Linked DNA regions of Drosophila melanogaster. The gene in region 1 interacts genetically with each later gene. Each region holds a gene or a part of one and is shown on either strand. Other genes may lie near its edges.

What was found.
Region 2: of sqd (region 1) and Imp, changing one enhances a phenotype caused by changing the other (phenotypic enhancement), as found in Drosophila melanogaster (one study listed by BioGRID).
Region 3: of sqd (region 1) and Rpp30, changing one suppresses a phenotype caused by changing the other (phenotypic suppression), as found in Drosophila melanogaster (one study listed by BioGRID).

Annotation. Positions count from the first base shown.
Region 1 is NT_033777.3:13,640,401-13,651,696, reverse strand, and holds the start of sqd (squid), read left to right. Parts: upstream 1-5,392; 5' UTR 5,393-5,777; coding exon 5,778-5,944; intron 5,945-7,126; exon of another isoform or gene 7,127-7,338; intron 7,339-8,487; coding exon 8,488-8,528; intron 8,529-8,593; coding exon 8,594-8,868; intron 8,869-8,941; coding exon 8,942-9,185; intron 9,186-9,269; coding exon 9,270-9,398; coding exon of another isoform or gene 9,399-9,508; exon of another isoform or gene 9,509-11,296. Other genes in the region: rin (rasputin), read right to left, coding at 131-523, 638-888, 1,200-2,628. UniProt on the Drosophila melanogaster protein: Component of ribonucleosomes. Could be needed to organize a concentration gradient of a dorsalizing morphogen (Dm) originating in the germinal vesicle. At least one of the isoforms is essential in somatic tissues.
Region 2 is NC_004354.4:10,814,950-10,825,970, reverse strand, and holds the start of Imp (IGF-II mRNA-binding protein), read left to right. Parts: upstream 1-1,693; 5' UTR 1,694-1,796; intron 1,797-3,184; exon of another isoform or gene 3,185-3,579; intron 3,580-4,153; exon of another isoform or gene 4,154-4,652; intron 4,653-10,335; exon of another isoform or gene 10,336-10,369; intron 10,370-11,021.
Region 3 is NT_033779.5:246,724-256,748, reverse strand, and holds Rpp30 (RNaseP protein p30), read left to right. Parts: upstream 1-4,375; 5' UTR 4,376-4,431; coding exon 4,432-4,522; intron 4,523-4,582; coding exon 4,583-4,770; intron 4,771-4,824; coding exon 4,825-4,893; intron 4,894-4,947; coding exon 4,948-5,222; intron 5,223-5,284; coding exon 5,285-5,555; 3' UTR 5,556-5,710; downstream 5,711-10,025. Other genes in the region: Dus1 (dihydrouridine synthase 1), read left to right, coding at 2,370-2,793, 2,859-3,303, 3,364-3,529, 3,604-4,086.

The DNA.
Region 1 (11,296 bases):
ATTGCATTGTGGAAGAAGTCGATGTTTTTAACGTTGGGTTGTTGCTGCTGTTCTTGATGTTATAGTCGCTACTGCTGCCGTTGCTCATTTGTTGATGCTTTTGCTGATGTCGTGCTGCTGGACAATTCCCTTAGCGACGTCCGTAGTTGCCACCACCACTCTGTCCATTTCCGGCACCGCGCAGCGGTCCGTTAGACTGGTTGTTGCCGCCACCGGTGCGGTTATCCTGGCGCTGTCCGAATCCACCGCCGCCTCCCAGGCGAGGAGCACCGTTTCCTCCGCCGCCGCCCTGGCGCAGATTGTTGCCACCGGCATTGTTGCGCATCATGCCACCGCCGCTGCCATTGTTGTTGCCCATCGGACGCGACTGCGGACCATTGTTGCCGCCCAAACGGCCCATGTTGTTGTTCAGGTTGTTGCCACCGATCTGCTGGCGCGGCACCATGTCGTTGCGGACACGCGGCTTCTTCTCCTCCACATTCAACTTCTGGCCATCGGGTGAGTTCTCCGGGAAGTATAGGGGCTATGAAATGGAAAGAATATGTTTAGATAACCTTTCTGATCACAGTAAAAGTAAGGAGATAAAAGAGATACCTTAGCAATTCCAATAATTAAATCTACTTTCTGCTTAACTTACGCAGTTCGCCAGGCACTTTTGCACCGCCTCAGGATCGTCGTAGGTAATGAATCCGTAGTTCAGCGGACTGCGCATGCCTGGTGGCACCTTGTTGCCAGCCTTGGACAAAATGCGCAGCTCCAGGACATTTCCGAAGCGTGAGAAGATCTCGCGCAGATCATCCTCGCTGGCGTGGTGCGGTATATTGCCCAAAAACAGCTGCTGATTATCACCGAACTGCTGCGTGTTGCTCGAGCGACGCTGCTCAAAGTCTGTAAAGTATAAACAGCAAGTTATTAGGAAGAGTTTCTAAAAAGCGGTACCCAATTTTGCTTATCATATAAGCCAACCTTAAGTTGATAAGAAAGTAAACCAACAAAATGAATCATTACCTTTCTAAAAATCTGAACGTAAGCCAATCATAATAAATTATAAGGGGACTAAAAAAGTAATTCTTAGAAACCACTGTTTTCATTTCTACATGAGATCCAAAAGTTTGCACTACATCTTTTAGTCTTTTTACCCTGAAGCCGAATAGAGGGGAATGACCCCTTTTAATTTAAGGGTGGAACGATGAACTTACCACCCTTGTTGTTGCGGATCGAGTTGTTTCGCTGCGGCAGCGGGCCACCGTTGTCCAGTCGCGAGTTGCCGTTGCTGTTGTTGTACGACGAAGCGGTGGTGGAGTAGCTAACCTGACTGCCATTACCGCCACCCGAGGTTGCCGAGGAAGAGTTATAGGTGTTGCTGCTGATGGACTGCTGCTGCTGCTGTTGCTGCTGGAGCTGTTGCTGCTGCTGCAGTGCGGCGTTCACAAAGCCGCTGGGCGAGGAGGACGTGGACTTGAAGAGATTCGCGTACGTCTTGGGCTCATTCTGCTGCTGCTTGGCGGCCTCGTACTTCTCCTGCTGCTGCTGCTCGTGAATGGTCTTGAAATCCTCGACGGGCGTGGGAGGCTTCTGCTGCCTTGGCGCCACCTCCACTTCCTCGGGCTCAGCCAGCGGTTGTTGCTGCTGTTGCAAAGGCTGCTGCTGCTGGATAGGTTGCTGCTGCTGCTGCTGCTGCGGGGGCAGCTGTGCCGGTTGCTGCTGCTGCTGCTGCTGGATGAGCTGTGGTGCCACCAGTGGCGACTGTTGGAAGCCCGCGCTTGGCACTGGAACAATGGGCAACACAGGCGTGCCGGTCGGCTGCTGCTGCTGTACCAGGGGAGACACGCTGGGTGGGACCAGCACCTGCTGCTGCTGCAGCTCCTCGTGCGACACCACACCGTTCTGGATGGGCTGTGGCGGCGGAACGGTGAACTGCGCGGGCAGTGGAACAGCAGCGGCTTGCGGAGCTGGTGGCAAAACAGCCACAGGACGTCCGGCGGCAGCACCCGCTGGCAATGGGTAGAAGATCTGCTGTGGGGCAGCACCACCGGCCGCTACAGGAGCTACCTGCTGGGGCACCACGACCTGAGCCTGTGGCTGCGGAGGAGCCTGCTGTTGCTGCGGCTGCTGGGCAACTACATCGCCGGCCACCTGCACAGCTTGATCCACAGTGCCACCGACGACCTGCACATCGTGCTCCTCATCGTTCTCCGATCGCGACTCGCCATCCTGCTCGTCCTCGATGTAGAGATCCTGATAGCGGAAGATGTCGTTGTGCACGTAGTACTTCTTCGGCGACTGAGCGGCCAGAACGAACGTCTGGGTAAAACGCCGCATCGGCTGGCCATCATTGGATAGCTCCCCGGTGACCTGAACCACCACACCGTTGCCCAAAGTGGCCTGGGCATCAACCTGGCTGATCTTCGCGTGGCAATCGTTGAAGTTCAGCTGCTGGATTCGGTTGTGGATCTCCCGCTGACCGACCACCAGCTTGGACTCTCCATGGATGTACGACGAGTTGTGGTTATAGAAGCGATGCAAGTGGTTGGGCGCCTTGTTCAACAGCGTGTAGTACTGGCGGACAAACTCGCGTCCCACAGATTGCGGCGAAGGCTGCTGCGATTGGGTCGCATCCATGACCATAGCTGGCGTTTGATTCTTCCTCTCTGAACTACGGACTCTTCGACTCGGATTCTTTGTCTCCGCTTCCAATTTCTGCTTCCCTTCTTTCTAGCTGCTGCTCGGATCTATCGACACGGTGGCTGATCTGTGTCGATTGAGAGTGTGGGAACGTCTGCGAAATAGTGCAAAAAATATACGCGCACTATGAAAATCTGTCTGGTTTTTTTAATAAAAAAAAAGAAAAGTTGGCAAAAGTCCTAGACGACTGTGTAGATTTTTCAATCTGATAATTTGAAATTAAAGGAAGCTGCTACCCTGTTTCTTACAATCTCCAAAAGGTGTTCAAAGATGGCTTATTCATACCTGTGCCGGTAAAAGTATAGAAACCATAATGAATCACTAGTTGTGTTATCAGTTAATTTCATCACGTGTAAATTTAATTTGGAGAATTAAGGCTTGATAACGGTAAAACACGCAAATATAAGAAACAAATTTAATTGGATTTTCAGACTGTCCATTAAATCAATCTGTGCTTCTTTTACATAAATTTCTAGAGAAATGTGACTGACTACCAAAGTGTTGACCCCTGCTGTGCTCTCCAATAAGGATCTAGAGTTTCGCTTGGTCACAAGGACGGCGGGGAGGGGGGGAGGTTTGTACACCCAAAACAGGGAGCTCATTTTACCGCAGTGCATATAAAACAGACGCAGCGCGCTGCAGTTTGACCCACTTTTGGGGCCCACACACATTTGCACATGCGAAAAGGGGAAATTTGGTGTAGTGCAGCTGTCAGGAAAAATTCCAATTTGCTTGCCGTCGCAGGACATTTAACCCTGCACGTGCTCCAGCTTTTATGCCTGCGATCCTGGCTGACTGAACTTTGCACGTGTGTGTGTGTGCGCGAGTAAATGACCTCATACAATTTGGCAAAGAAAAAAAAGAAGCCGCCAAGCGAGGAGCATGAATTAAATTGAGGTTATGTTCGGGTCTCAAGGTTGTGGCGCCGCATACAATGAACTCCAGCTTGGCCAAAATATCAAATTGCTGCCTTGCAAAAACACTTGAAATAGCGTTAAAAGGTGTAAGTAAATATCAATGTTTGCAGGTGTCCTTTGCCCCATTTTAGCCATAAACATTTGCCGATAAAACAAAAAATGCACAATGAGTTGCGGCAAACCCACACGCACACATATTCGGTTATGAACGCGCCGCTCTTTCGGGTTCTCTCTTTCCCACTCTATTTCTGCTTGCGAACCGCGTGTGTAGGAAGAACAAAGAAAGCTATAGTTGAAGAGCAGCATTTAAACAAAAATGTACAAAAACAAAATTTTTCGTACATTTTTAGGTTATGCACAAGCGATAATAAAAAAAGCCGCTAAAATGGTAAAAAAAAAAATTTAAGAGATAGAGCCCTGCCGCAATAATAAAATATACGCCCATTTAGCATTTTTTATGTTGATTTTTTCCTAGTATGCGCCACCCCTTTGAAAATGGAAAATGCTAGTTTTTCTAGACCGCGCACACGAGGCCGTCGCCGGCTCACCTTTTTTAAGCGATATTTTTCCTCGTTTTTATTTTTCCTTTTTGTAATGCACAGTGTGTATTGCTTTTGGGTTGAAGTTTGCCGAAAAATCGGCACTTTTTGTAGCACTTTTCTTTGTTATCTTCCTGCGGGGGGCGGGGAGAGTTGGATTTCTTAGTGGAGCGCTGAAATTATGCGGTTTTTTTAATTTACAAAACGATAGTCGAAACGTATGAAATGCAGTATAAAATTGCAAGCTGCACACAAAACACACAGCCACACACACCAATGCACTCACTCGCTCACACACACACACTAGTCTAGTTTGTTGCAATTCTTTTTGTCTTTTTTTTTGAGAATAACTAACTTGGCAATTCTTGACGTGTATTTTTTGTTGCTTTCTGATGTTTGGCGATCACAGTTGTTGTTGAATTAAGTTACGATGCATATGTTGTGGCTTTTGAGTAGAAAATAATCGCAAACGCAATGAAATTGGACAAGTGTGTTGAATCGAGAAGAGAACCGACGTTCGTTCCTCTTTTCCTCTTTTTTGCCTCTGCACAGTTTTATTCTTGGTTTCGCGTGTGTTGGTGTGTGAATGATGGCGGCTTTTCCAAGGGTGTGCACACACTTCTTTTTTTGGGGTGGTTAATCTAGTATGTTCCATAGAATATTTTGATGAATTTGATATTTTCATATTTGAGCTCAATTAAGCTCATTTTAGGGGCGCTAAGTTTCTTTTAAATAGTTTTATAAAACTTATTTTCATTTTAGCCATTTCCGATTTTTTGAGTAAGCTCATGAAACACCTTTCTTTAAAGGAAACATTTTATATAGCAAATAAATAAAAACCATAATAACGTTATATTATAACCTGTTGGGAAATCCGAATATGAAAATTGTATAAATTTTTGCAAAAAATAAAAATATTTAATATAAACCAATTAAATGATTTAAAATATTGTTGATGTTTCAGCCTATAAGAAGTTAATATGAAAATTCGATTTTAAACAATTCTTTGTATGTAAATGTTGTTTTCGTTCCCAACACATAGTAAATAATGAACATTGTATTTTTTATATTTATAAAATTATAAATGTTTATGAAATACTTAATATTTATTTAAATATTTAAACCTTTAATACAACTAAAATGAATTTATAAACCAAGTAACTTGTCCATTGTGTAAACTGGGCTTTAAAATATTTGTATAAAATTTTTGGTATTCTTTTCATTTTCTCTTCATAGGTGTGTGTACATTGTATAAATCAAAGCTGCCATACTGCAAGCAGACAAGTCACGCGCCCATTTAGCTCCTTATATAGGCTTATTTGGGGTGGTATCGTACAGAAAATCCCAATTTAATCCTTGGCAAATGTATAGCTAACAATCTCCAGGTAGAGCAAGCAAATACAATACAAATATTTACCAAAATAATACCAAATCGACTTGACTGGGAAAACATCAAGGTGGCAACGCCGCACCCATATACACACGCTGTCGTTTGCATTTATCATTTTCCGGTCGTCATTTCATTCGTACGCGCGACTTTTTGGCGAGTGTGTATAAAAATCTCCGGCTCTGCGTAAAAAACGAATATCGTGCTGCCTAGCCCCCGAAATTAGTAGATCAGTCGAAAACACACAAAATGGCCGAGAACAAGCAAGTGGATACAGAAATAAACGGCGAGGATTTCACCAAGGACGTGACTGCCGACGGTCCGGGATCTGAAAATGGTGATGCGGGCGCCGCCGGCTCGACCAACGGCAGTTCGGACAACCAATCGGCCGCATCCGGCCAGCGGGACGACGACAGGTATGTCCATTATCCGGCGGATACGTTTTTTTTTTGTTCTTTTTTATTTTTGCAACGGGCAACCGATGATCATGTGCCCCCCATAGATTTTCTGCTTCTACATAGTGTATATTGCCTACTCTGTTACGTAAATGCAAAGCTAACGTCGTTGGTCGAGTTTCATTGGATTTTACGGGGTTCTGCGGGGGAAGTCTGACCCCTTTTGTGTTCTCTCTCGCTTGCGCTCGTGCGTCGGAGTGTGTTTAAGTGTGTGTGTGTGAGGTGTCGGTGCGACTGTACTTCAGTCATATTAATAGAATCTTCGGGCCAAAATGCATCATCACAGTCTCGGGAGACATGGAAAATTTTCAACGTTTTCCCCTGCACACACACGCACTTTCCGCAATGAAAACCAGAGTTTTCTTAAGCTAGGAGCACATTTTCTCCCCTTTGTGAGGTTATGTTTGTTTCCCACGTTGCCCCACAGACACACTGTGACGCATACGAACACAAATCATACGGTTGCCTTTCACTTGCAAAAAATGTGGCGAAAAAAAACGTTGGAAAAAGTTATGTTTGTATTTGTCAGTGTATTCTTTTTAATTCGCATTACTCTTTGTTTCGGCTATTTCGTTGTTATTTTGTGCTCTTCCAGTTTTGTACCCAAAATGGCGGCTGCATACAGGCATACATACCAACCTAACGCCCGCTGTTCTGTAGGTGTGTGCGTGTTTTGCAGTTTTCACTTATTCTCTTGCTTGCCGGCTTCGCTCGCTCGCCACCTCTTTTGCGCGCTCTTACTCTCAGAGAGCGACAGCCGGCGTTGTTTGGAGTTGCCAAGGCGCCAAAATATTAATTTAACGAACAATTAATGTAAATTATAAATGATAAATAATTTTGATGGATTAAAGCATAGAGATAATGATGATCAAGTAGAATGGTCCTCTTGTTTGCTCCCCTGCGTTTTGGTTTTTAGGTCTAGCGTACACTTCATTTGCCCATCCTTTATGATCATTTTATATCTAAGTTTAATCTTAAGTCACACGATACTGTACATTTAAACGATAATACGAAACCAGCGCTGACGAAGCAGATGCAGATTATTCCCCGTAAAGGAAGAAGGACGAAATGGAGAAATTAAATCGAAAATCATAGCTTATCCTGTTGTCTTGTGAGCGAACTAACCTTGTTCCTCTCCGGCAGGTTTTGAGAGAAGTGAAATGCCCCAGGTCAGGGTTTTAAGCTATGCTCAAGACGGATATGGATTCGGATATGGATTTGGATTCGTATTCCTGCCCCCGGCAAACGGTTACGGATTCGGATTCGGATTCGGCGGACTTATACTTGGAGGATATGCAACCCTCTCCACACTCCAGTCTCCAAAAGTCTCCGCTCCGCCGATACTGATGCTGATGGTATTTATCTATCCAAAACTAAAACAAACAAACAATCAGTCAGTCAGCCAATATATAGAACTATCAACACACAAAATTATCAAGAAATAATCTCGATTTAAAATTGGATCCATATGTAAACTGTATACGAGTATATATTGTATTGTATCTCTTAACGTATAACTTGTAAATTACCTAAAAAAAAAAGAAAAACAAAAAAGTACCAAGTAATCGGAGACAGAGAGAGACCGAGTGAAAAAGAGACTCGCAGTTTTTTCGTTTTGTTTTATGAAGCTCAAAAACTATACATTATATATCGCCCGAAGAAAGAAACACAATGAACGAATGTAACGTAACGAATTGCCACAAAAAAGAAGCACAAATCACTAAATTGCAATCGAAATTCCGCCGCCGTGTGATGAGACTGTTCCAAATTTGCCGGGAATCCGCCGAGAACGATGAGATATCTTTCCAAAAAGTCCAGAAATCAATGAGTAACGTACACATCATAGTAAACTATAAGTGTCTGCATATTTTTTCAACATTCCTTTTTATAAAAAAAAAAAAATATAAAATAAAATAAACAGCCAAATAAAGAAAGTAAAACTAACCACAATCCAGCATAAAAACCTTTGCATTCTTTTCTCTCATCCTATTGAATAAAGACTAATTGTTAATTGTTATTTGTACAGACAAAGACTCTTAAGCATACCCAAAACAAAAACTTAATAATTCACTCTTGCATATCTTATATATACTATATATCTATATCTTTCGCTCGTTTTGTGTCTCTCGATCGATCGCTCGCTCGCTCCTCGAACTCTTTCGCTCATTCCGAGTTTGCAAGTATTTTGACACTATCCGATCAATTCTTTGATTGCAATACAGTAACTAAAGCAATTTTTCACTTCAAATTTGGTGAGTTTTTTTTATTCGTTTTGTATTCTTGCCCAGTCATCAAATTCTTTTGCAGCCAATACGAAAATCAGTAAGAGAAGAAAAAATTTAAAGTAAATTAAGAAAGTATTTGCCTCGCGCATCAAACACAACCTATTTTTCGTGCCTGATTTTCCCAGATAAACCTTTTCCTACCAAAATATTTCCCTAAATCTATATTGAAATGTTTTAAGATACCATCAATCTAACCAATTAATCTTTAAACTTTCGCAGGAAACTGTTTGTCGGTGGTCTGAGCTGGGAAACGACTGAGAGTAAGTATAAAACTAAAACGAAGTAAATAAACAAATGCTAACAAGTTGCTTTTCTATTATTTCAGAGGAACTCCGCGATCACTTCGGCAAATATGGCGAGATCGAGAGCATCAATGTCAAGACAGATCCCCAGACCGGTCGGTCCCGAGGATTCGCCTTCATCGTGTTTACAAACACCGAGGCCATTGACAAAGTCAGCGCCGCGGATGAGCACATAATCAACAGCAAGAAGGTCGATCCCAAGAAGGCCAAGGCCAGGCACGGCAAGATCTTTGTCGGCGGCCTCACCACAGAGATCAGCGATGAGGAGATTAAGACCTACTTTGGACAGTTCGGCAATGTAAGTAACCCTAAAGCGGTAGACCTTTTGGAATTTGCCAATAATGATTTACTTAAATTCTTTTTGTTTAAAGATCGTCGAGGTGGAGATGCCATTCGACAAGCAAAAGTCGCAGCGCAAAGGATTCTGCTTCATCACCTTCGATTCGGAGCAGGTGGTGACAGATTTGCTGAAGACGCCCAAGCAGAAGATCGCCGGCAAGGAGGTCGATGTTAAGCGTGCGACGCCCAAGCCGGAGAACCAGATGATGGGCGGTATGCGTGGTGGACCACGCGGTGGTATGCGCGGCGGACGCGGTGGCTACGGAGGACGAGGTGGTTAGTACAGCCGCTAACGAAGCAGTGCATTTTTGCTTCTTATGGAAACCGGCTCTAAACTATATATTTCACACCATCCCATAGGCTACAACAACCAGTGGGACGGACAGGGATCATACGGCGGCTATGGCGGCGGCTACGGCGGATATGGTGCCGGTGGTTATGGCGACTACTATGCCGGCGGCTACTATAATGGATATGACTACGGTTATGGTAAATACAACAAACAACAAAGTAGTGCTCAAAACAATTATTACAATAACAACACGTCGAGTAATTACCATCAAAACAAGAACAATAGCAACAACTATCAGCAGTTCTAAGTAGAGCCTCAGCCGCATAGAGCTGGCCTGGCCAGCAACAAAATCAGAAAGAAATAATCAAACAAAGCAAACAACAACAACCGCAGAATATAAAAACCTTCTAATTTTTGCCATAGACCTGATCTGATCCAAAATTTCCACGTTGTTGTGTTTCCCATTCAAACAAAACTGAGAGAAAAACAAAAACAAAAAGTTTAGCTGCATTTCGATATATAGTACCATATATATATATATATATATATTTATATATGCTTATATACCGCATGCATTGTCTATATGCATATTTGCATATAAATCATGTTGGTATATGATGTCAATGAACAACAACATCAAAAACAACAACAAGAACAAGAACAACTACGAAAGCAACGTCGCTAAAAACAAGAAAACTTTTAAAAATTGTAGATTTGAAAGAGAGAAAACAAGAAACATTTCTTTAATGCTAACATATAAATTTTAATCTAATCGTTCATTTTATATTGAAAAAAATGTGTATTTTGACAGACAATTTTCATCATTTAATAATAACAAGCAAAATCGCAATTTTTATATACACATTTATATCTATCTTATTAAATATAAACCTACGTATAATTTTAAAGGCATATAATTGATGTTTAAAATTTTAAAGCGTACCTTTTAAACGAGAATTCATTTAAACGAAACATTTAATTACCAATTATTAGTTGAGTAGCATTTAAACATAAAACTGACGAAGCGTGTGTAAAAAAAAAGATGTGTTGTTAATAGAGTGAGAAGGAGCGATGAGAAAAGTAGACGTGACGTTCAAGTCGAGGCATATATAATGCTACCATCCTGCCATTTATATGCGACCACCACCAGACCGGACCAACCAACAAACAACAACAACAACCAGAACAACATCAACAACAACTTGGTTGCCTTCAACAGACTTTCCAAAGATGACAAATACCTCAAACGCAAGGGCAGCAAACAAACAACCAGAAGAACAGAAAGAAACCCCAGACATAACAACAAACAAAGAAACATGAAACACAAGAGAGGAGCATGTGCCAATTATGTGAAACTGTGTGAAACGCCAGTGTTTTTGGCCTTTTGCGCAATTGCAACTTGTGCCTTTTTTTAATTGTTAACTAAACTGTTATTGTTTGAACACACTGAAATCAAAATCTGTTGAAACACACAAACACCCACACTACACACACACACCCACTTTCCCGCCAGCAATCCCATAAAATAGTTATTTAAATAGTTTCACCTTTTGTTTTGTTTAACAAAACACTAAACAACAAGCAACCAGAACAGAAACGACAACAAACAAACAAAAAACAAAACACACGAAACGCGTAATCAAAGCTTTGATTCAATGTCTATTTAAATATATATATACCTTATATATAGCATATAAATATATTTTTAGATACATATTATTATTCCGGCAACGGGATAATATTCACGTTCTTTGCAATGCATATGTTTTCGTATGCACCATACGTCAATATACCTACCATATATATTTATATCAAATATATACAAATGTTATATATTTATACATAAAACGTAACATTTAACTATGGTACTATTTTTGATAGTATTATTTTAAGGCAAATCCTTGTAAAAAACAACTACAATACGATAAGAGCACAACAACCAGAAGCTCTGAAAAGATCTGAAGGCCCCGGGGGGTCCAAAAAAGTCAGTGCAGTGCATCCGGGATATTATCATTCCGGTGGAACCACTGCTGCAGCACCCCCCCGCAGCCTCATTCGTTAGATCGTTCTTTTATTTGCTTTATTTGCATTTCCG
Region 2 (11,021 bases), on another chromosome or scaffold:
CTTCCACTGGCGTTCGTCCTTGTCCCACGACGGGACAATGTGTGGAGAGGGGTGGAAGGGGGGGGGGGGGGGTGATGCCAGAATAGAGAGACACACAAGGGTTGCAATCTAATGAAATAATAATAATAAAAAAGTAAATAAAGCAAGGGGCGAAGTCAACGGAACGCAGCCAAATTCGATCCTCGACGTGTGGCGTGGGTGCAACAGAGATGGCAAGAGTGGCAAGCGCGTAACGGGACACCACCACCCAAAAGCTGGAAGACAGCGGACTGGAACGTTCTCTCCCCCAACCCCTTCCATGCCAAACCATTCCCGTGCCAACGCACTCGCGAAAATAATTGAATGTAATTTTAAATGATGTTTGTGATTATATTACAAATGAAAATTGGGTTTCTTAGAAACATTCGAAAAGTATTAAAAAAGAGAATGATGATCTGCTTGTTTAGCCCCATCTCAAAATCGCTTCATTTCCTGCTTAGAAGGTATCTAATAGTCGCGACACTCGACCATTTTCATTTACTGTGCACTAAATACCATAGAATCCAAGCCAATGCGATCCCAACCATCCCAAATCGAAATGGAAAATCGCAGCATGGCAACGCACAGGACGCACACACAAAAATGCGTCGCAGTTGCCGCTGGGGGTGGGTGGTGGCTCTTCCTTTCCCATTTCCATTCCCTTTCCCTGCGCCTTTCCCTTTACCATTAGCGTTAAACCCTCCCAGCTCGTATCCTCGTCCCTTTTTTTTGGACTAGGCTAGGGCTAGAGCCCAGACTGAGAGTTCAGAACTCACAGCCAGCCGGCTGTAAACATTCCTGACAGACGCAGGAACGCAGCAACGCATCGCAACCACACAGCGCACATTCAGCAACAGCGATGGTGGTGGTGGCAAGCAAATTATGAGATTTTCAGGGGTTCAACAGCCTCCTAGAAATGTACGGGACAACTAAAGTATTCCATCAATGCATTGAAAGAATTCTTCAAGTCTGCCATCAGAGCTATATCTATACAATGGTACTACAAAATAGATCCCTAAGTATATGCTAATATAGATAGTCAGAGGTAGAAAGATGTATATCCTTGAAAGATCTATCTAAATGATTGTTGTATCTTAACAAATATGGCTTGAAGTTAAAGAACTTAACAGTTCGTTCGCCTTACTTCTGCACTCCGTAATCTTCTAGTTTAAGCTTAAAGTTGCAGCTCAGCATTGAGATCTTGGATGGAAAGTGCATGGGCATGGGCCTGGAACCACTGCCATTGTGCACCCATGTCCAGGGGCGTAGGGCCACATCCTCGACCTTGTCCTTGTCCCGTATTTTGGGGTTGAAAAACTACGCAAGTTTCGCTCGAAATTCGAAAACGGGACGCAATCGCTTAGTGTGTGCGTGCGATATGGTATGGGTGTAGACTCTCTGTGTGTGTGTGTGTGTGTGTGTGTGGGCTGAGTTGGGTTGGTAACAGTCGGATATATATGTACATACTTATATATATTTTATGTTTGTTGCTGCTCTGGGGTGCGCATCAGATTTAGCTGAACGAAGGAAGGAAGCATCGACAAAAAAGAGGAACGGGAAAATGTAGGAGAGCAGGAAGTAGAAATTTCGTTGGCAGCAAGGTCAGCGAGAGAGGGAGATGGCAGGAGTGAGGGAAACAGAGATGGAGAAGGCACAGTCTTAGATCGAAACACGATTGTGAGCTGCAGACTTTTCCAAGTCCCCGGAATCGCTATTCGCAGCTCACTTCCCTCGTGTTAACCTCATTGCGTCCAATCTAGTTGGAAAATCCCGTTGAGGTATCAAGTACTGTTTATAGAAATGTATCTTTCATAACACTATCATAACAATTGAATACTACACTCTCTAACTCGTCGTTCGAAAACAAACTTATGATTATAAAGGCCATAGTAACAAAGAAGCCGCAACGCAAGTCGTAAAATGCATTGCATACTTTCTGGAGTCGAAAAGTGCCACAATTAATATATGCAATCTAAACAATGGGATTGGGAAAAGAAAATAATTTATATAATTCTATTATAAGCCAAAATAATAGCTTTATTGATATCTATGCATAATCGCAATTTACAAATGCCAATAACTTGGCTCACAAGTGGCAATCGTGAGTGGAATCGAATTCACAATTTCCCCGAAAGACATTTTCCGTTCTCTTGTTTTCCTCATGTCTTAAAATTATAGTCTTGCCTTTTGTCAAGCAGCTGTGGCAGTTTGAATTTTCCTGACATTTTCACGAGCCAGTAGACAAAACAGACGGGGCGATAAAAGGGCGCAAAGGAGAGCGAAGAGGAGCGGAGAAGAGAGAAAAGTGGAGAGAAGAGCGATGAGCGAAGAGAGAGCGGGAAAAACGCTGGCGTCTCTGCTCGGGCCACCCTTGTTTTCAGAGTTTTTCCCCGAGTTTTCCGCTTGGTACTATGAGTTTTCGCTTTTCACATTTCACACTCACCCCCGTCGCAGCTGCGTCGACGTCAACGTCAGCGTCAGCGTCGACAGCGCTGCCAACAGCTAGCCGGTCCAAGCCAATCAGATGGAAAATATTCGTTTATCCGTTGCGTTTTTCGATGTTTTTCCTTTTTGGGTCGGGAAAACCTTTTGCATAGGGCGACCAGCAGTGCAAAGTACAGGTCCAACAGCTGGCACAGTGATCACCAGATGAAATAGAACAGATCAACAGAAATCATCGATCATTAAATCGGAATAGAAATGAAATTAGAAGTTAGCTATATAAATATGTAACGTATCTAAGCAAGGCCTAAAATGTATGTTAAATATATTTTGATTACCTATAGTAACTTAATAATACATTTGGCAATGTATACTGGCATAAATTAATAGTTAGCTTATTCGATTTCTTAACCTTAGATCATTTATAGTGGTCGCCGACTTTTTAGAGTGAGTGTGGTGTAAGCCGGCTGCTGCCCTTTAAAGCGGATAATGTGTATAGACGCTTGCACACAGATACAGATACGAGTACAGACACAGATACAGATACAAATATGCCAAGGAGCAGGGTCAGCCATTTTGGTTTACAACTTTCACTGTTTTGGATGGGTGGGAAAATGCGACGCCAACGCCAACGCCGCTGCTACAGCGCCGCGGCAGAGGTCCTGAGAGCAGAGCAGAGCTGAACAGAGTTTTCCTCGCATTTTCATCGGGCGCTGAGCAGACACCTTGGAAATTGGGATCCGTATATCCGGCAGGCAGGCAGTTCACTCGTCGCCGTTGCGTCAGTTCGTTCGACTCTCGACTCTCAGCTCACAGTTCGCAGTTAAATAGTTAATAGTCAATAGCTCACGCCGAACAGCTATCGAGATATTAGTGTTTTGGATTCAGATTCAGATTCAGATTCAGATACGGATACGGATTCAAACGGCGCCGCCATTTGTGATTTTTGTTGTTTTTTCTTGTATGAGCAAAAAGTGACAAAGCACAAAAAAAAAGAAAAAAAAAGATAAAAACCAGTGAAAAGCCAAAGGAAAAGCGCAAAGAAAAGTGAAAAATCATCATAAAATAACAAACAAAAATTCGACGAGAATTCTTGAGGTTTACCAAATACACCAAAGTGTAAGTGTAAGAAAGAGAAAGGAGATACCAACCAAGCCATAGAGAGAGAAGGTGAGGGAGAGAGAGAGTAAGGGAGTGGGAATAGGAGGGAGTGTTTTTCCAGCCTTGCTTTGTACGCACTCACTCACGCATCTGCTGCCGTCTCGCTCGCACCCACACAATCCAACGCCCACCCACGGCAACCCACACACAGAGTTGTCACCTACACAAAAATCAATAACGAAACCCAATAAAATAAAATCCACAACGACAGCGAAAACAAGCCCAAAAAGAAAATGTTACTTCCTGTCTAAATCAATCAATGGAAAAATCAATTGCGAACTCATTAAGGATGCTAGATTTTGATTCCAAGTAATTCTTATGGCATTTGAAAACTAGCTATAGATTGCATAAAAACTAGATTTCTTAGGGATTAACTATAATTTTCTTTTAATGCTTTAGGCTATGGACGGTAATAGGTTATGTAGAAAGTATTGTAGTATTGCAAATATAACCCATTATTGAATATCCCAAATCACACACACCATTGGCTTTGCTGTCAATCGCAAATGTCTAAAAGCCCCATACAAATTTCACTTTTCCCACTATTCAGTTTCAAATTTTTTCTCGCTCAATATAAAAAAAAAATCAAAAATTTACCCAAAATCAAAAATATACACTCACACAGTCCATAACAAGACAAGACACCGGAAAACAACAGGCAACACACCCATATTAAAGCCAAAAAAAAAGGAATCTAAGAAAGGCCAAAGGAAAGGCGAAAGACCAGACAATTTTGTTTAAACTACGTACTAGGTAGAGATATTTATAATCTGGAGAATTCCGATCAATTGGAATATTGTAGCCCAGAGAATATCGATCCTCTCGAGAAAAATTCACCGACCTCACTTTCCAATTCTAAAGCCTGAAATCTTGATGTTGAACCCACACAATTGGCAACTTAATTGAATCAAGAGCCTGCAAAGGACTGAGATCTCTGGAGCAAGAATCAGGCACCTTTATCTCAAGCAATTTCAACAGACATCCTATCCAAATCTCGAGAATAAGCAGTGCACTTGCGTCCCATTGAAAGTGTAAGTATCCTTTTCTGTCAGGATATTGAAACGGGTCCTCGAAAAATGTTACCTTGCTATAGTTCCGTAACGAACTCAATATATTGATTATATTGATATTGATAAGAGGATAGAATGAGGATATTATTCCTATACTATTCCTATTTAAGATCTCTTCTCTACAATAGTCGAGATTCTTCTAAGCAACCAAGATCAATTAAAAACCAATAACTTAGCTAGCACTCCGCCACAGTTCCTGTGTCTGTGTCTTTCATTCATATATCCGATGATAAATTCCCAAGTTTTCTTTATGCCAACTCCATTGCAACATTGTACAAAGTACAGGGAATGCTCCACAAGTGCGATTATAAATTGTTCAGAATGTAAGCGGCAATGATTGCGGAGGCTTCTCTGTAGTTGAACGCCGAGGTTGCGTGTTTGGCGTCTATTTTAAATGTCGACAGCGCAAGATGCGCGTGGCATGAATGAAGCGTCTGTCCCGCCTTTCAGACCAACAACCACCGCCCCCCCGCCCCCCCAACGCTTTTTGTTGGCCCCCTGCTCGTCTTCTTCTTCTTCTCTTCCTCATTCTAATCTGGCTCGTCTGCTTCTAAATTTAATACATTCTCAAGTGAGGCGAAATTCATGGAAGATGCGAATAAAATCGGATCAATTTTAAAGTTCAACAGCCGCTGAAAAAGAGAGAGTGATATATGTATATCCAAAGAAATTGGGAATTGCAGCGATAGAGATAGCAATATGTCGGTGGGGCCAGAATTAGAAGCAGACTGACAAAGAAATAGGTGCCAGTTTGGTCAAATTCCTTAGCGTTTCGCAATTGGGAGAGGGTGGTTCATATCGTTTAGATGCCAAGTTGTAAAAGGCGCAATGGTTCGTAGCTTAAGGATATTCTTAAGGATATACCAAACATGTTTCCTAAGTCCCCATACACTTAATTTTGCCTATTACATCGCTTAAATTCTACATTCTTTTGATAGTAAAACTCTCGTTTTAATCGCGAGTTAACCCTTATTGCTTTTGTAAGTTCTAATGCTTCGGTTTGAATAGATTTCATTCCTTACAAAGCTGCCTTTTATCTTAAGATACCAACCACCCCCAGTATTAAATAAAAAAAAAGGGTGCTCACTTCAGTCTTATGTAAGGGCTACATGCATCTTACTTTTGGGGATGTTAGTCCACCACTAGCAGCGTAAGTTGGAAAGTTGGAGTATTCTCAGATAGCCATCAATCTGCACTCGCACTCAGTATCCGTCGATCGTCTATCTCGTTCTATTTGAGGCAACTGTACCTCGTTAGCGCGCTCCTTTGACGCGGTTTGTCCTTGAGGCAGCTCTCTAAGAAAGCTTAGGTAGGCAGACGGGCAGCTTTCGCAGCTGTTGCCTGCTCCTCGCTGCCTGGCTGCCGCTCATCCGTCTGCTCCTCCCTTGGGCACTCCTTATCTAGTCCTTAAAAGGTGTCCTGTAGCCAAACGAGCTCCTCGAACCCCATCCCCCTTCGCACGGCATTCCTCATTCGATTGTTTTATGTCCTGTTCGTCGGTGGCAGTCGACTGTGTGCGGCAGAGTCAGGATATCGCCGTATAAATATAAATCTATTGTGATATAGTACATAGTCATATGGTTTGCCATTGATTAAAGTTTTCTTTTCATTTTCACCAATCATTTTCAATTTCAAAGCTATCCACTATGATTAAGAATGATGGTCATCATTAACCTAAGTTAACTTTTCATATAAGTTCTTATCTAAGAGCCACTACTAGTGCTATTCAATGAAACGGAAGCCACAAGGAAATGAAATCACTTTCCCAAGAATCCTGCACGAACCCTTTTTTGCATGCATCCTTCCGGTTCGTGTGCATCTCAATCACATTTGACTGCGTTCGCCATTGCAGTCGGTAGAATTGTAATCAACCACTGAGCCACTGAACCACCGAGCACCACCCGAAAACCCCAAACACCCACCCAGAGGCTAAGTGGACGGACTCAAACGGACGCATTCACATAGCTTTCGACGATTTTATTCGCAGGACTAAGGTTCTTCCTCCCCCCTCCCTCATACTAGCACTCCTTCTCTTTCTCTCTCTCTCTCTCTCTCTGTCTCTTGCACTCATTTAGCATGCATGTGTGGGAAGGGGGGGGGGGGCGGACAGCGTTGGGTTGTGAGAAAGTGGGTGGTTAGGCCTTCTGGCGTTGCATACTTTCGAGGGGTTGCTGTGCTGCACTTTGCTGCGCGCGCGCCATTTTCCATTCGTTCAGCGTAAAATGGAGCAGCAAAAAGTGCAACTGCAACAGGCGTTCGCCATTTGCCGCCGGTTGCAAAAAAAGGGTTATGCAAGGGGGAGGAGGGGGATAGAGGTGGAGGTCAAGCCCGCCCACCACGGGGGTTATAACCTTTGGCAGGATGATGTTGCAACCGCAGGAGTCGCCACCCCTCGAGAGAGCTAGCTTGTTTATGGCCGATGTTGCTGCTGCTGCTGCTGCTGCTGCTGCTGGCGGCGGTGATGGTGGTTGTGTTGTGCTGTGCTGTGAGTTGTGTCGATACCCTTGACGCCGTTGCACTTTTGTTGCAAATTGCTGGCAAAGGACACAAAAGCTTTACAAGCTTCGCCACCTCTAATTGGCTTGTCGCGGCTGAAAAAAAAAAAAGGAATGGAAAGGAAAAAGGAGGAGGATGCCGCCAGGAAGTGGTGTTCAGTGCTCAGAAAGGATTCAATCGGATTCAAGTGGCTGGCAAGGGGTAGAACTAATTTAAACCATGTACCAACCCAAACAGCCTACCCGCCGCACCCTTGCATCCTTGCATCCTTGACCACCCCTGTATCCTTCCGGCGCGAGATGAGGCCTATTAAACGTCAATTAATGTCACCTTCAACAACTGCAATTGCTGCCGCTGCATCCTGCATCCTTTTGCTCCTTTAACCCTGGACCCTTTCCACCTTCCCGGCCTCTACCCTCCCGATTCTGATTGCGATTCTGTTCTTTTCTGTTTTGATTGCGACGCGTGCAGGGACCTTTAAGATGGCAGTGGTGGCGGGTGGGGAAGTGGTTTGCTGGCTGGCGTTCAACTAAAGAAGGTCAGAGTGCAGTGTTGCATGCAACAAGTGAGCTGACAGAACCAGACGACGTCGACCTGGGCGGGTTGGACTGCATCTATAGAAGCGATGCGGAACGAGATTTAAGCTGGCTGCATGCAGCATTTTAAAGGCATTTCAACACTTTACGTGTGATGATTATATCCTCTTTAGTTGCGCTTGAAAGGAAAACGAGGATTCTTCTTAATAGCCTTATATATGCATACATATGTAAAGAAGGTTACAGCTATGTTTATTTTAATTAAAAAGGTTTTCTCATTGAAATATATGTAGATAATATATTATAATATATATATAATAATTATAATCTATTGGTTATAAAAAATGTATGTCATAAATCTGACTTATCAAAGTAGTCGATTTTAATGCTTTATTTCTTCTCAGCTCAGAAAAAAAGGTGAATTTTTTGTTTATTTTAGAATGTTTAATGTGTAAGATTACTGAATGTAATTTAAACAAATTGTAAGCCAATTGTTTTACTGATTGCAACAGTGATAAATGGAATACCTTTTTATGTTGAATTTTTTTAGGGCTGAATGCAGAGAACGTGACTGTTCGGAAGGTCCTTGGCTAGAAAGTTTTGCCGCTTGGTCTAAACTTTTCACTGCTAATCGCAGCTTTGGACTTGAACTTGTCGACCAAGGACATTGTATTAGCCTTGCCCCTAAGCCATCTTCCTCTCCCCTCAACTAGGATTCTATGTGAAACTCGCTTTTAGTGTCCTTCCACATCTAACACAATCCCCCCATTCCACTATCCTAACCACCTCTTTCCCCCCCCCCCCCCATCCTCCTTCCCCTTTGGTTAACGCTCGCATTTCGTTTTTCAATTTTTCGGCTGCTTTTTGCGTTGCTTTTTTTTTCTTAGAAAAGAAAAGAAAAAAAGGAAAAAAGCAGCAGCAGCAACAAGAACGCCGGTATACAGAGCAGCTATTGTGTGCTCGCAGTTCACTTCCTTTTGCCGCTTCCTTCTTCCTTTTCGGTTTTCAGTTTCCAGAGCTTAAGCGCCGTCGTCATCGCCACACTCACACACACACGCGTGCACACACACACACGCACACACACACATGGACACCTCGTAAGTTTATACGTGTTTGTGTGTGTGTATTCATGTGTGTCTCGTTTTTTGGCAACGCCAGCGGCGCAGTCCGCGTTGACGTCGACGCCGGCAGCGGTTTAAAAAAGAGCGAGCGAGAGCAGTGCGTTGTGCATCTCTCTCGCACGCGCTCCTTTAAGTTCAGTTACTTTTGGGCGGTGGAGCAAGGTAGGAAGAGTGGGCAGGGGGGACTGGAGCGAGGGCAACACACGCGCGTCTTTTCTGAGCCGCTTTTTCGAGTGAGTTTTTCTTTGAGAGGAGAGTGTGCCGACAGGAATTCCTCATACAGTCCAACTTCCATAGCTGGAACATCCAGAATCCAGGATCCATGCAAGGCATCTTTCACTCACGCATATCCTATATCCTATAGAAAATTTAGACTACTTTCGCAAGTATTATTTTCTTTTCCTAAGAGAAACTTCAGCGAAATCTTACATTTATGCAGATTATTTGATTTTATTAATATTCAAGCAAATACTAGAACCTGTTTTAATATTCTAACGACAAACATAATCCTTAGGACAAACAAAATGAAGAGCTTGTTTTAAAAATTTCTCAAAGAGCCTTTATGTTATAGACTCTGCGAATTCTATTGGTCCCGTTTTCTAAATTTAAATGCCAAAATACTGTGATCTGTGACCACAGCCCTTTTAACCCGTATTAGTCTTTAAATTCTATCTCTTAAATATTTAATTCCAATTCAACGAAGTTTAAGTGAAAGTTACTCTTAAAATCTTTTAAAATATTTCTAAAGTACGTTTGTGTAAAGAAGTCCTATTTCTAATTGGCTTTCAATGTAGGAGTGCATCTTGTTTAATTAATATTTCAGAAGATCCTACCTTTTCTAGAACTGAATAATATTCTATTGTACGGTATGAATAATATAACTAGTAACTTATATTTTAAATAATAATGTGATTTTAAATAATAATCACTAAAGAATTTTCTGCTTTATAATCATTACCGTGATAAATTTCTATTAAGAATTAATGCATAGATACTATAACTGAGCTATAATATCTTAGGATCTGCGAATGGCGGAGCTTTTCTGATAACCCAAGTGAACTAAACCACCATTTTAGATTTCATCCGTCTCATTGTTAGCTTTAATTACTGCTTTTATCAATTTCCGAAGAGCGATGGCAGCAAGAAGAAGACATTGGAGCCACTCAACACTCCACACACGCCACCTCGCTCGCACTCGCACTCACTCGCTCACCTACTCACTTACCCACAGTCACTCGACTCAGAAAACACTCGCCGAAAATTTTCGGCAATCCGTAACGCACACACACATACAAGTGCACGCGGTTTCTTGGTGTTTTGCCTTTGCCTTTTGCTTTTACTTCTCCTCTCCATTGCCATGCCCTTGTGTGTGCGTGCATTTGTGTGTGTGAGTTTCGCATTGGTGTGTGCGTGTGTTTTGTATCTGTGTTTAGGAATTTCGGCAGCGGAGAAAAAATGTAATTTTCGAGTAAAACAGCGTCCGTGCGCTCGGTCGGCAGTTTAGTGTCTGAAAACGCTCCTAACTGTAAGCAACGTAGCGTCGCGACTCGCGGGCTGCCCCAAATAATCACAAGAAAAAAAGAATTAAAATCAAATAAAAAGCAGACAGAAAGAAATTGTACAAAGCCAACAAATAATGAAAAACAAGAGAAAAAATAGCCAAACGAAAAGCCCCAAAAAATTAAACCAGAAGAGAAGAAGCAGCAGCAGCAGCAGCTAAAGCAAAACCAAAACCAGCAGCCTTGAATCAATTTTTTCTCTGTGCTACACTTTACTTTAATATTTTGTGACCGCCGTACCATTTTTTTTGTCATTTCACGTTTTGCGCGCCACGGATACTTAGATACACGGGTATTATCCGTCGGAAAACGGAAACGAAACGAAGCAACTAACGAGTCCGCCGTATAAACTATCATCTCCACTGAGAAAAAAACCCCCTCCCTTCCCTTATAAAACCAAAAAAGAAAAATAGAAAAGAAAACTAGAAGGGAAAGAAGAAGAATAAAGAAAAAGGAATGGGATGGTGAATAACGGGGGCTTGTAGGGGGTTCTATGTGTATTTTTTGTTGCTGCTGCTGCTACTTTTTTCGTGGCATATTTTTTGACTTTGACTTTAATTCGTTTGCCTTTGCTTTTTTCCTCTGCCCCTCCGCGCTCTTCTCTCTGTCTGAGCGTGT
Region 3 (10,025 bases), on another chromosome or scaffold:
GGTTAGAAGTAAATAAATACATTACCCACTGCGCCCACTACGAATTCGTTGGTAGGGCCACTTTGAAAATTGGCAAAGCAGGATCCGGGGCCTGGCTGATTTCCACCGCATGCGATGTGCGGCTTCGGAGGCGTGTCCGAAGGTTGATGGTAGCTATGGTCGGGTGAACCCGCACCTGGTTCTGGGGTATCCAGTGAAAGCCGAAACTGCTCTTGGTCTTGGACCGCCTTAATTGGTGCGGAAATTATTAATTATCTTTGGCCGGGCGCCGCAGAAATCGAAAGCTTTGAACAGCGATTGCCAGTGTGCGGCTGATTCAATTAGTCGCTCCCGAATCCGGCAGATGCGAAACAAAGTCCAACTGTCTGCGGTCTCCGCAATTGCACACTTTGGCCACCCTGCGGCTAACCGCCCGAATTTGTGGGCCTGGACTGCGAATTATGTAATTTACTCCGCTGGGCTTGGAATAGAAGTAGGGTAATGGGGACGGGATGGCCAGATATTTTGGCACCTACTGCAGGAGAAGTTCATCCAAGACCACTATCGCTTATCATTTTGTATCACTTAGAGAATATATTTCTTTAGAAATAGGAAATGTATATATGATAGATCAAATGAAACCTTTTCTAGCAAATTATTGAAGGAATATGTATTTTCTTTGCAACTTATAAATCACTTGTACATTCTGCCGATTCATGCTGCAGTTGGGCTTGATCTCCCCCTCCGCTTTTGGAAAAGTTCTTAATTGCAAGTGCCCAGAGCCGCGGCTGCCCGATCCCTTCCTGCTTCTGGAGGACCCCATGGGCGCCTCATTTGGTAACTTCGTTGTAATTTGGGCATAATTATAACGAAGCCAACAGCTGGCAGCGAAACGGCAGCCACGCCCCTTTTTTTGGGGCCTGCACTTTATTTCGGTTCACTTATTATGCAATTTACTTTCGGGGGCCGGAAAGTTTCCCGCCCATTTAAACTTTAATTACTTACAGACATTGCCTTGAAATGGCTCCGCGCATTGTCAGCGAAAAAACCTGAGCAACAGGGAAAGTCTGAAAAGTCCTGGCAAGCAGGCAGAAGATTACTATATAGATGACAATCGGCCTTCGCCATTGATAAAATTGCACGCCATTTCCGGTCAGTAAACTTTCAATGTGAAAACTTTTTCTTTTTCACTGCGTTTGTCTACGATTCTGCAAAGTAAAATTCGAATCGAGCCAAGTTGTGCAACTTATTGTGCAAGCGATAGCAGAGATACCTTGTTTTTGGATGTGCTGAGAAGCAGGTGCGTTTCGTCACCAATAGACTGCCGGATAATATGGACACGAACTAGTGATTATACATATGGTTACTTTTGGTAACATTTGTTACCAGCCTTGATAAGGGTAAAATTTTAATAGTTGTTACCTTAAATGTTGTATTTTAACTTAATGGGAATTCATAGCCTTTCGACCTCATGCTTTCAATTAAACCATTTTAAACTTACGTGTGTCCCCTTATGCAGTGCAACGCAGTCCGATAATTTCGATAAACCGGTGGAAAGAAGGGTTTGAACTTTTCAGTTTTGAGTTGCATGCACAACTTGAATAACTCAATTAGTGTGCGCATTGTTGTATGTTGTGGCAGTAGTTGGTGTTCGGCTTTTCTCGTAATTGTTGCTTTTGTTGATGTGCATTGACTTAGAGCGCAATTTTCACGCTTCTATGCCTGGGCCAAGCCCCAAAAACGAAAGCGAAACGAGAAGGTATTAAAGAAAACCCGGTGTAGTCGTTGAAGAAATTTAATTGGAGCAAACTCGAGCAAGCACTAGACATTAGACGTTGCAATTGCAGTTGCAGATGCAACAAAAGTGAAATTACAAAATTAATGCAAAAAACGAGTCTTCAAGAGTAATCGGGACGAAATCAGATGGTTCGAGCAAAAGGCATGCATTAATCCTATTCTATCAAGATCTAAAAAATGACATTCTATCCTAATTATACAAAATATAGAGTAGGCTTTCAGCGACCCTTAGCTCCGCGTTTCTGTTTTCATCCTGTGTGAGCTCAATGCAAATTTGTTTGGCTTTGCCCAACTGTGCGTGGCTTTTCCCAGTCGCTCGCTCGGCCGCTCCCTTTCGCCGCTAATGTGGCGCTAATTAGCTAGTTGTGAAAATGCGTAGGTGCCTTGGGAAATCCAGCCCTCTGCTGTCCGGTAAAGAATGAGCCACAATATTAGACTGCATTGCGGGTATTTGTCAACCCGTTAGCGGGATGACTAATGTCATTTGGGCTTGGGGAAAGGTGCCGATAATCACTGTCGCATGGAATATTTTCAACTTTTGCCAATAGGCGTATCAATCCAATCTTTTTTTTTAGATTTCATTTGAATTTGCCATGGTGAACGATGAAGACGCCGCGCACCAAAGACCTAGCAAGCCCACCGGATACAACTTCTACCGCTCCTCCTTGGGATCCCCGCGTTATGTAGTGGCTCCCATGGTGGATCAAAGCGAGCTGGCCTGGCGAATGCTGTGCCGACGCTATGGCGCCGAACTCTGCTACTCGCCAATGTACCATGCGAACCTCTTCGCCACAGACCCCAAGTATCGCAAGGATGCCTTGCAGACGTGTCCCGAGGACAGGCCATTGATCATCCAGTTCTGTGGCAACGATGCTCAACAAATCCTGGATGCAGCACTCCTGGCGCAGGACCACTGCGACGCGGTGGACATAAATTTGGGTTGTCCCCAGGCCATTGCCAAGAGAGGTCACTACGGATCCTTCCTGCAGGATGAGTGGGAGCTGCTGACAGAGATTGGTGAGTAGCACAGGCTACTTTGATTGTTTATGGAACTAGTGATTGCAACTGCTATATTATCCTAGTGAGCACACTGCACGCAAAACTAGCCGTTCCTGTAACTTGCAAGATTCGCATCTTCGAGGACCTTGAGAAGACCATTAGGTATGCCAAGATGCTGGAGGCGGCCGGCTGCCAGCTTCTGACTGTCCACGGTAGGACCAGAGAGCAGAAGGGTCCGCTGACCGGGGTGGCTAATTGGAACTACATTAAGAATGTGCGCCAGCACATCAAGATTCCAATGCTTGCCAACGGAAACATCCTGGCCCTGGACGACGTTCATCGTTGTCTGACTGAAACAGGAGTCGATGGTGTAATGAGCGCCGAGGGTAATCTGCACAATCCGGCCATCTTTAAAGGAGTCTCACCGCCCGTCTGGCAAATGGCCCATGAGTACTTGGAGCTCGTTCAGCTCCATCCGTGCCCGAGTTCCTTTATACGAGGACATCTCTTCAAGCTCTTCCATCACATGTAAGTCTCTACACTACCGAACCTAAACCGATTTTTCAAAATCAATTCTCTATTTCGTAGCATGAATATCCGGCAGAACTCTGAGTTACGGCAATACCTAGCCACTGCAAATCAGCTCGTGCAATTCCAAGCCGTCGTGCAACAAGTACGGGCAAAATACGAGCCGTTCCACAAGGGCGAGGTGCCATACGAGCCCGAACAAATGGCTGCTGGATCAGAGGAAGATGTAAGTTGCTCGAACGGATCTTTGTAATAGAGTGGATCTGAAATAACACGAATATTTTATATTCCCCAATAAAGCTGCCACTTTCTCCCTGGCTGTGTCAACCATATATACGCGCCTCACCCGAATCCCATCGCCAGAAGATTGCCGAAAAGGTGCGCGAGGCTGAGGATCCCAACCGAACCAAGCGGCAGTACTTCGACAAGGACGGCAAGGAGATCTCCCGCAAACGGATGAAGAAACTTCGAAGACGCCAGCGAAGACCCAACAAAACGGAGGCCCAGATCCAGCATCGGCACGAGAGGCGCCTGGAATACTGCTCGGAATGCGCCAATCCCCAGGGATCCAAGTGCGAGTTCCAGCTGTGCCGCGTGTGCTGCAAGGACAGGTGCTACAACAACGATCGCGATTGTCCTGGTCACGGGATCTTCATCAAATCCCGCCGAGCCAGGGCCAAGCTTTTTGAGGAGCACATCGCCCCGCAGGACCACCAGAAGGTGACGAGAACTTCAGACGATGACCTGACGATAGCCCCAACGGATGCGCAGGAGCCGCTTTGACCTTAAACCTGTACTTTAGGAAACACCCTTCTTGTTTTTGTTTCTATGACTGCGAATAAAAAAAAGCTTGTTTTAAAAACCGCATTGATTGTTTTCATTCAAACTTTTGATTCCATGGCGGGTTTCTTTCATAAGCAAACCCCAAACCGGTTGAATTGGCCAATTTATGCGAACCCATTCTATTTGTGCATTTATACTTTTAAAGTTTCCTATGTAAAAAAAAAAAACTGTTAGTGTGACCGTGTTATTTGTGCCCTAAAATGTGTTTCAATTATCTGGCGAAAGCTGGCCACTCTAAACACCGGTTGCACGCTGTGGGCAACGAAAATCAAAACAAAGCCTAAAATGGAGCAAACAAGGCCATTTTACGATTTCAGCATACCATACAACAAGGACGACTCCGTGTTGCGGGCCCTGCTTAACGAGCTGGTGGAAAGTGAGTGAGAACAAATGACCATACAGAAGATTCCCACGACATCCGACATACTCGTTGCAGCGGGCTACAAAACAGTGGCCATCGACCAGAGTTTCGACCACAGCAAAAAGGATCCGGGCAAACGTGGGTCCGAGATGTTTCCCGAGCCTCATAAGATCGAGCATCTGCGCAAGGAGTTCCAGGACAAGCTGAGAATCCTGCAGAGAATCACCATTCTCTACGTAGACGTCAATGTGGCCCACGCGATGGTAGGAACACTTGATGATGGATAATAGCAAGTTAATTTGTATTTGTTGCTGTAGAGTGTCTCCCATAATCTGCGGAAGTTCAATCTCATCGCTGGCCAACCGAAAACAGATGCCGCCCTGACGGTAAGTCACTATAAGTACCACCTTCAAATCATCATTTAACACGGACCATCTAAGCACTGCTGCACTGCCTTCAATGGGGACTTGATAACTTTTGATCCTGTGGCTGGGTCCCGACTCTTGGTAAACCGAAAAGCATACCAGGTGGCAGTCCGTCGGGGCATGTTCTTCGAAATTAAATACGCTCCATCTATCTGCGATTCGAATAACAGGAAGGACATGATAAAGATCGCCCAGAACTATTGCACCAAAGGGAAGTCCAAGAACGTTATCTTCAGCAGTGGTGCGGCGCACGAATTCCAGCTGAGAGGACCTTACGACGTTGCTAATTTGTAAGATATAGCTAACTAGATTACCTTTAAGATGAAGTCTAATTGGTACTAACATTTTAAAGGGCCTTTATCTTCGGCCTATCAGAGGACCAAGGGAAAAATGCTGTGGACGGGCACTGCCGGGAACTTTTCCTGAAGGCTGAGGCGCGTCGTCTGGGAAAAACCATCATGTTTCTCAAAGGAAACGGTCCCATAATATACTCGGATAGCTCTGAGGACGAGAAAAGCACCGAAGACGAAATGAAGGGTCTAAAACCGCAAATTGGAAAAGCGGATGCATTTGAAGTCAAAGACGGAACTGAGCACGCTATTAAACGACTTAAAGTGGCGTAGCCTTTAACTAAAATACATCAGCTTTTTTAATAAGTTGGCTAGTTTTGATTTTACGACGAAAGCCGGCTAACGTAACGTAATGGTTTTGGGTCTAGGCTGCACGTGGTTTGGGTCCAGGAAAAGGTCGACAGTTTTACTTCAGCAGCTACATGTCTAACTATACCCGATTGACTATGCTAATTATCGTTAAATTTTAAGTTGTTTGTTAAATAATATTTCCGTTTGTTGTCATTTGTACATTAGTGATGTCAGTAGCGATATTTAAAATAATATATCGATGGCATAAAAAGAAGAACCATCGATTGGCGGGTATCCGGGACTTCTGGCAACATTGATTTTCGTCCCAGCTCTAGCGTACAACAACAAAACAAAATGGAGGTCTTTGATGTGTGTGTCGCGTTGTCTTGAAATTTGCTGCTAGAATTTTGCGTTAAACGGTAATTTAAAGTGCAAAGTAATTAAGAAAAATTGCTTTAAAACGCTTGCCAGGGTGCCGGCATCTGGAAAAGCACCAAATCTGATCGGAGTTGAGCGTATTTTAAGCAAAATTAGCATTTGAAAAGTGGTCGAAACCGAGTCACTTGAAAAGAAAAAATGTGCAAAGAGGAGAGTGGAGAGTAAGACAGAGAAAGCAAAAAGAGCAAGAAGACAAGCGACGAGACGAAAAGAAAAACGGCAAAGCAAAAGAAATATATTTCGCGAGACTACGAAGAAAAGCTGAAAAGTAGCAGCCGTCGAATTTCAATTGTTTTTTCCCCCGCAGTTCCAAGTGCATTTCTCTATGCGCCTGTGTTCGTGTATGTGTGTGTGCGAATAATTAATGGCAAAATTGCCGAAGAACATCGAAAATCAAATCCGAAAATGTGAGCGGCGACCGTCTAATACAATTAAAAATGGTCATCATCGGGAAGTTTGTGTATGTGTGCGATGCTCGCTTGCGTTTTCGTCTTCATCATGTTTGAGTGTAATTATCACGTTGATTATTGCCTGCTCATTTGATTTCTTTCTCCAACTTCTATTCGCCATATTCTTTACTCCCGCTTTTTACTCAAAAAAAATTAAAACTGTTGGTGGTTATAGCTAGGACTTTTTTTCTCGTAACGCTTGTAGCATACATTTTGTGTATGTATTTGTGCCCCGTTTCGCTGCAGTGTTGCCAACATTATTCGGGTGATGCAGCGCCGCACATTTTGCACCTGTGCAGGAGACAATCTCTCCCCACCCTCACTCACGCCCCGTGGCGCATTTATCCATCTACCATAATGGCCATTGCTACAGTTGCTCTGCCAACGTCGCAGTCGACGTTCTCGTTGCTCTTTTCACAGTTTGTTATTATTGCGATGGGACAAACCGAAGTGCAAATCATATTCCCAAATTAATTGTCTTATTTTTCGATTAGGTTTATTTCAATGGCTCGATTTTAATTTAAGAAATAAACAGGAAAACTACTCGAAAATCTAGCAAAACATCCGCAGGTTTGAGAAGACGATTCTGTTGCAGATAAAATTTCTCCTCGTTTTTTCTACAAATTTAATCTGTGCTGCAAAACAACCAACAACTCGAGTGCAATCTTTTTCTTTTTATAACAAATTTGGTGTTCTTGGTCCAAGCTGCACTGTAGCTGTCATCAATATTTCTATATTGATAGTCTAAAGTAGCACTCACATAGATACAGTGCACATATGCAACGGTATCCCCATTTGCGGCTCTTCCTCTTTGATTGGTTTTTGCTCTGCTTCGGTCGCTGTGTCAACTCATCTGTCTGCCTCCATCTTCCTCGCTCCACTCGCTCTCTTCTCATTCGGTGCACACACTCACAGTTGGCAGTGCTTGGACACACGTTTTTCTAGCCGGGCCACTCTTTCTCTGATATGCTGGTCTGCTCTTACACACACACCGCCGCTACGACGCGCAATTGATGAGAGAGCGTAAAATTCATGCGCTTGTCGCCGCTCTCGACGCGTCGCGTCGTCTGTTGTGCATCTCTTCTTCTTCCACTCGGCGGCTGTAACAATTTTTTTCCATTCCATTCCATCTTCGTCTTTTTTCTTTTTTTTACTGGTGCAATTACCAAGGCGCAGAGATTTTTCCCCTCATTTCCAGCAATATCTATCGATTTCTTTGTTTCTTTTCGGCTGTAAAAAACTACTTTTAATTGTAATTACCGCGCGTTTGTGTGAGTTAGTGAGTAAGTGAGATGGAATCGGGCCGCGAGAAGAAGAAGCAACAGTCACAATTGCAACCGTTGCGCTTTTGTAGTTTTTGCCATTGCGTCTTCTTCTTGCAACGGCAATTGTGCTACAATTATTATTTCGCATGTGTATCTACACTTGAATTAGCATTGTTGTTGTGCTTCTTGTTGCCCTTTCATTCGCCGTCATCTGTCATTTCGTTGCGCTTAACTATCGATAACTTGCGTCCAAAATGATTGCGTGACCAAAAACCAAACCGAAAAACAAAAGAAAACGGGAGAAAAAAAACTAAAGAGAGCAACGTGAACCGTACAAATGAACTGTAAATTGTGAGAACCTGCGATAATAAACAAGATAAAGTCAAATGGATTAGCAGCAAAAAAATAATTTAAAAATGGTGAGTAATACTATTTTCAAGTAAATTGTTAATGTAAGTACTCCTCTCCAAACGGAGTCGTGAAAGTGCGAGCGATTTACAACAATGGCCAGGCAGAAAATGCTTTTTAGAAATAATTATGTATCTTTAACCGAAAACAGATACACACACTCAGCGAGACACGCAACACAGACATATAAACGAATTGAGCGAAAAGTCACAAACACAAACGCCAGCGAAATAATTTCAATCAACTCTTTTCGGCGAAGAAGAAGAAAAAGCAGCGAAAAAACGTCACACGCCTGTTTTCTCCCTTTACACCTCGCCTCTCGTCGTATTCTTCCCTCCCCCACTCGTTAATATGCGAATAATGCTAAAGTTGGGGCGAGTGGGCAGTTCCACCACTCATTGCTTACAGTTGTTCTTGTTTTCGTTCGGCTTCGCCGAAAAAATTTAAGTAAAAGGCGAAAAAATAACTTATGTGACGTGAAAATTTGAAGAACACCAGCTGGGTTGGTGGGGGGTATGTTAGAAATCATTGGGAAACAATAGTAAAGCTTTCTTTTCTCGGACTGCAAGTAAAATAGGTGGTAATATATGGATATTAGTTTTTACAGAATTAAATTATAAATTTAATAAAAGTATTGTGAAATTATTAAAATATTAAATGTGTTGCTGTTAACAGATGGATAATCACTCGGTAATCTGTAGTTAAGATTTTGGTAAGGTTCCGTTCAGGCTTTTGACGTACCACTGTACCCAATCAAAATGACCGACGAGCTCAACAAGAAGAGTGATGACGGGCGAGAGAACCGAACGATGGACGGAAAACCGGGCAAAGGCAGCGACAGAGACCAGCGACCATATAATATCATCCGTCCCAAAACACCGAATCAAAACCGACCAAACAACGTCAGGCAGCAACAACAAGGCAAACATATGAACGACGACGACCCCAACTCACAAATACAGCACACCCAGGCCAACAAACACACACAGATGCAGATACAGATACACATGTACAAACAAAAGGCATCACGATATGCGAATGCGAATAAAACAGCAGGAACAACTATGCGGCGAATTTGCACGAATCATGCGAATCTCCAACTCACGCACACATGCATAATACGTGTTTTGTACTTGTCGCCGTAATGTTGTCGCCGCCATTCGCCGTCTTTTCTTTGCATTGCTTCATTTCGCGATTTTCCCCTTGCAATCTCTCTCATCTGATGACCACCCAACAGCAATTGCACAGCGCAACTTTCTCGATTCGAAAAAATGTAATTATTTAAAGTTCACAAACTGCCTACTAGTGCACATGTGTAAACATAATTTTCTAGAAATTGTATTTGCATCTAATGACTGAAACAGCTCATATAGGTCATAAGTTTTGCTTACCATAAACTTATCAAATTTGTACATAGCCTTGTAAACTTTTTTAATCTCTCCTTTTTCTGCCCTGGCTCCCTCGGCTTTTTCGCACTTTTTGTTTTGACTGGCTCATCGCAACCTCGGTTTCCCACTCTCTTTCTATACGAAACAGTCGTTCTGTCGTTTTGTCTCTCAGTCGCTTTTCCTTTCTGTTTGTCTTTCATGCTATTCGTTGTCGGCTACGACGCTGACAGCTCTGCCGCCAAAGGCCGGCACACGGCCCCCCACTCAGCCGTCTGCCCCTTCCCATCCACTGCCGCAGCACGTGATATACATGCTTTGCTTTTGGTTTGCTCTTTATCGTACGCTATGCCATGCTTTTGCTTTTTGTTTTTTTCTCTGCCGACAAAATTTTTGCTCGTTTCACTTGTTGGGTTGTTTTTTTTTTTCTCTCGTTTCTCTTTGTCGTGTGTTTTCGCCGCTCGCTCGATTTCAGCCGGTACACCGCTCTTGAGAGAGCGACTCTCC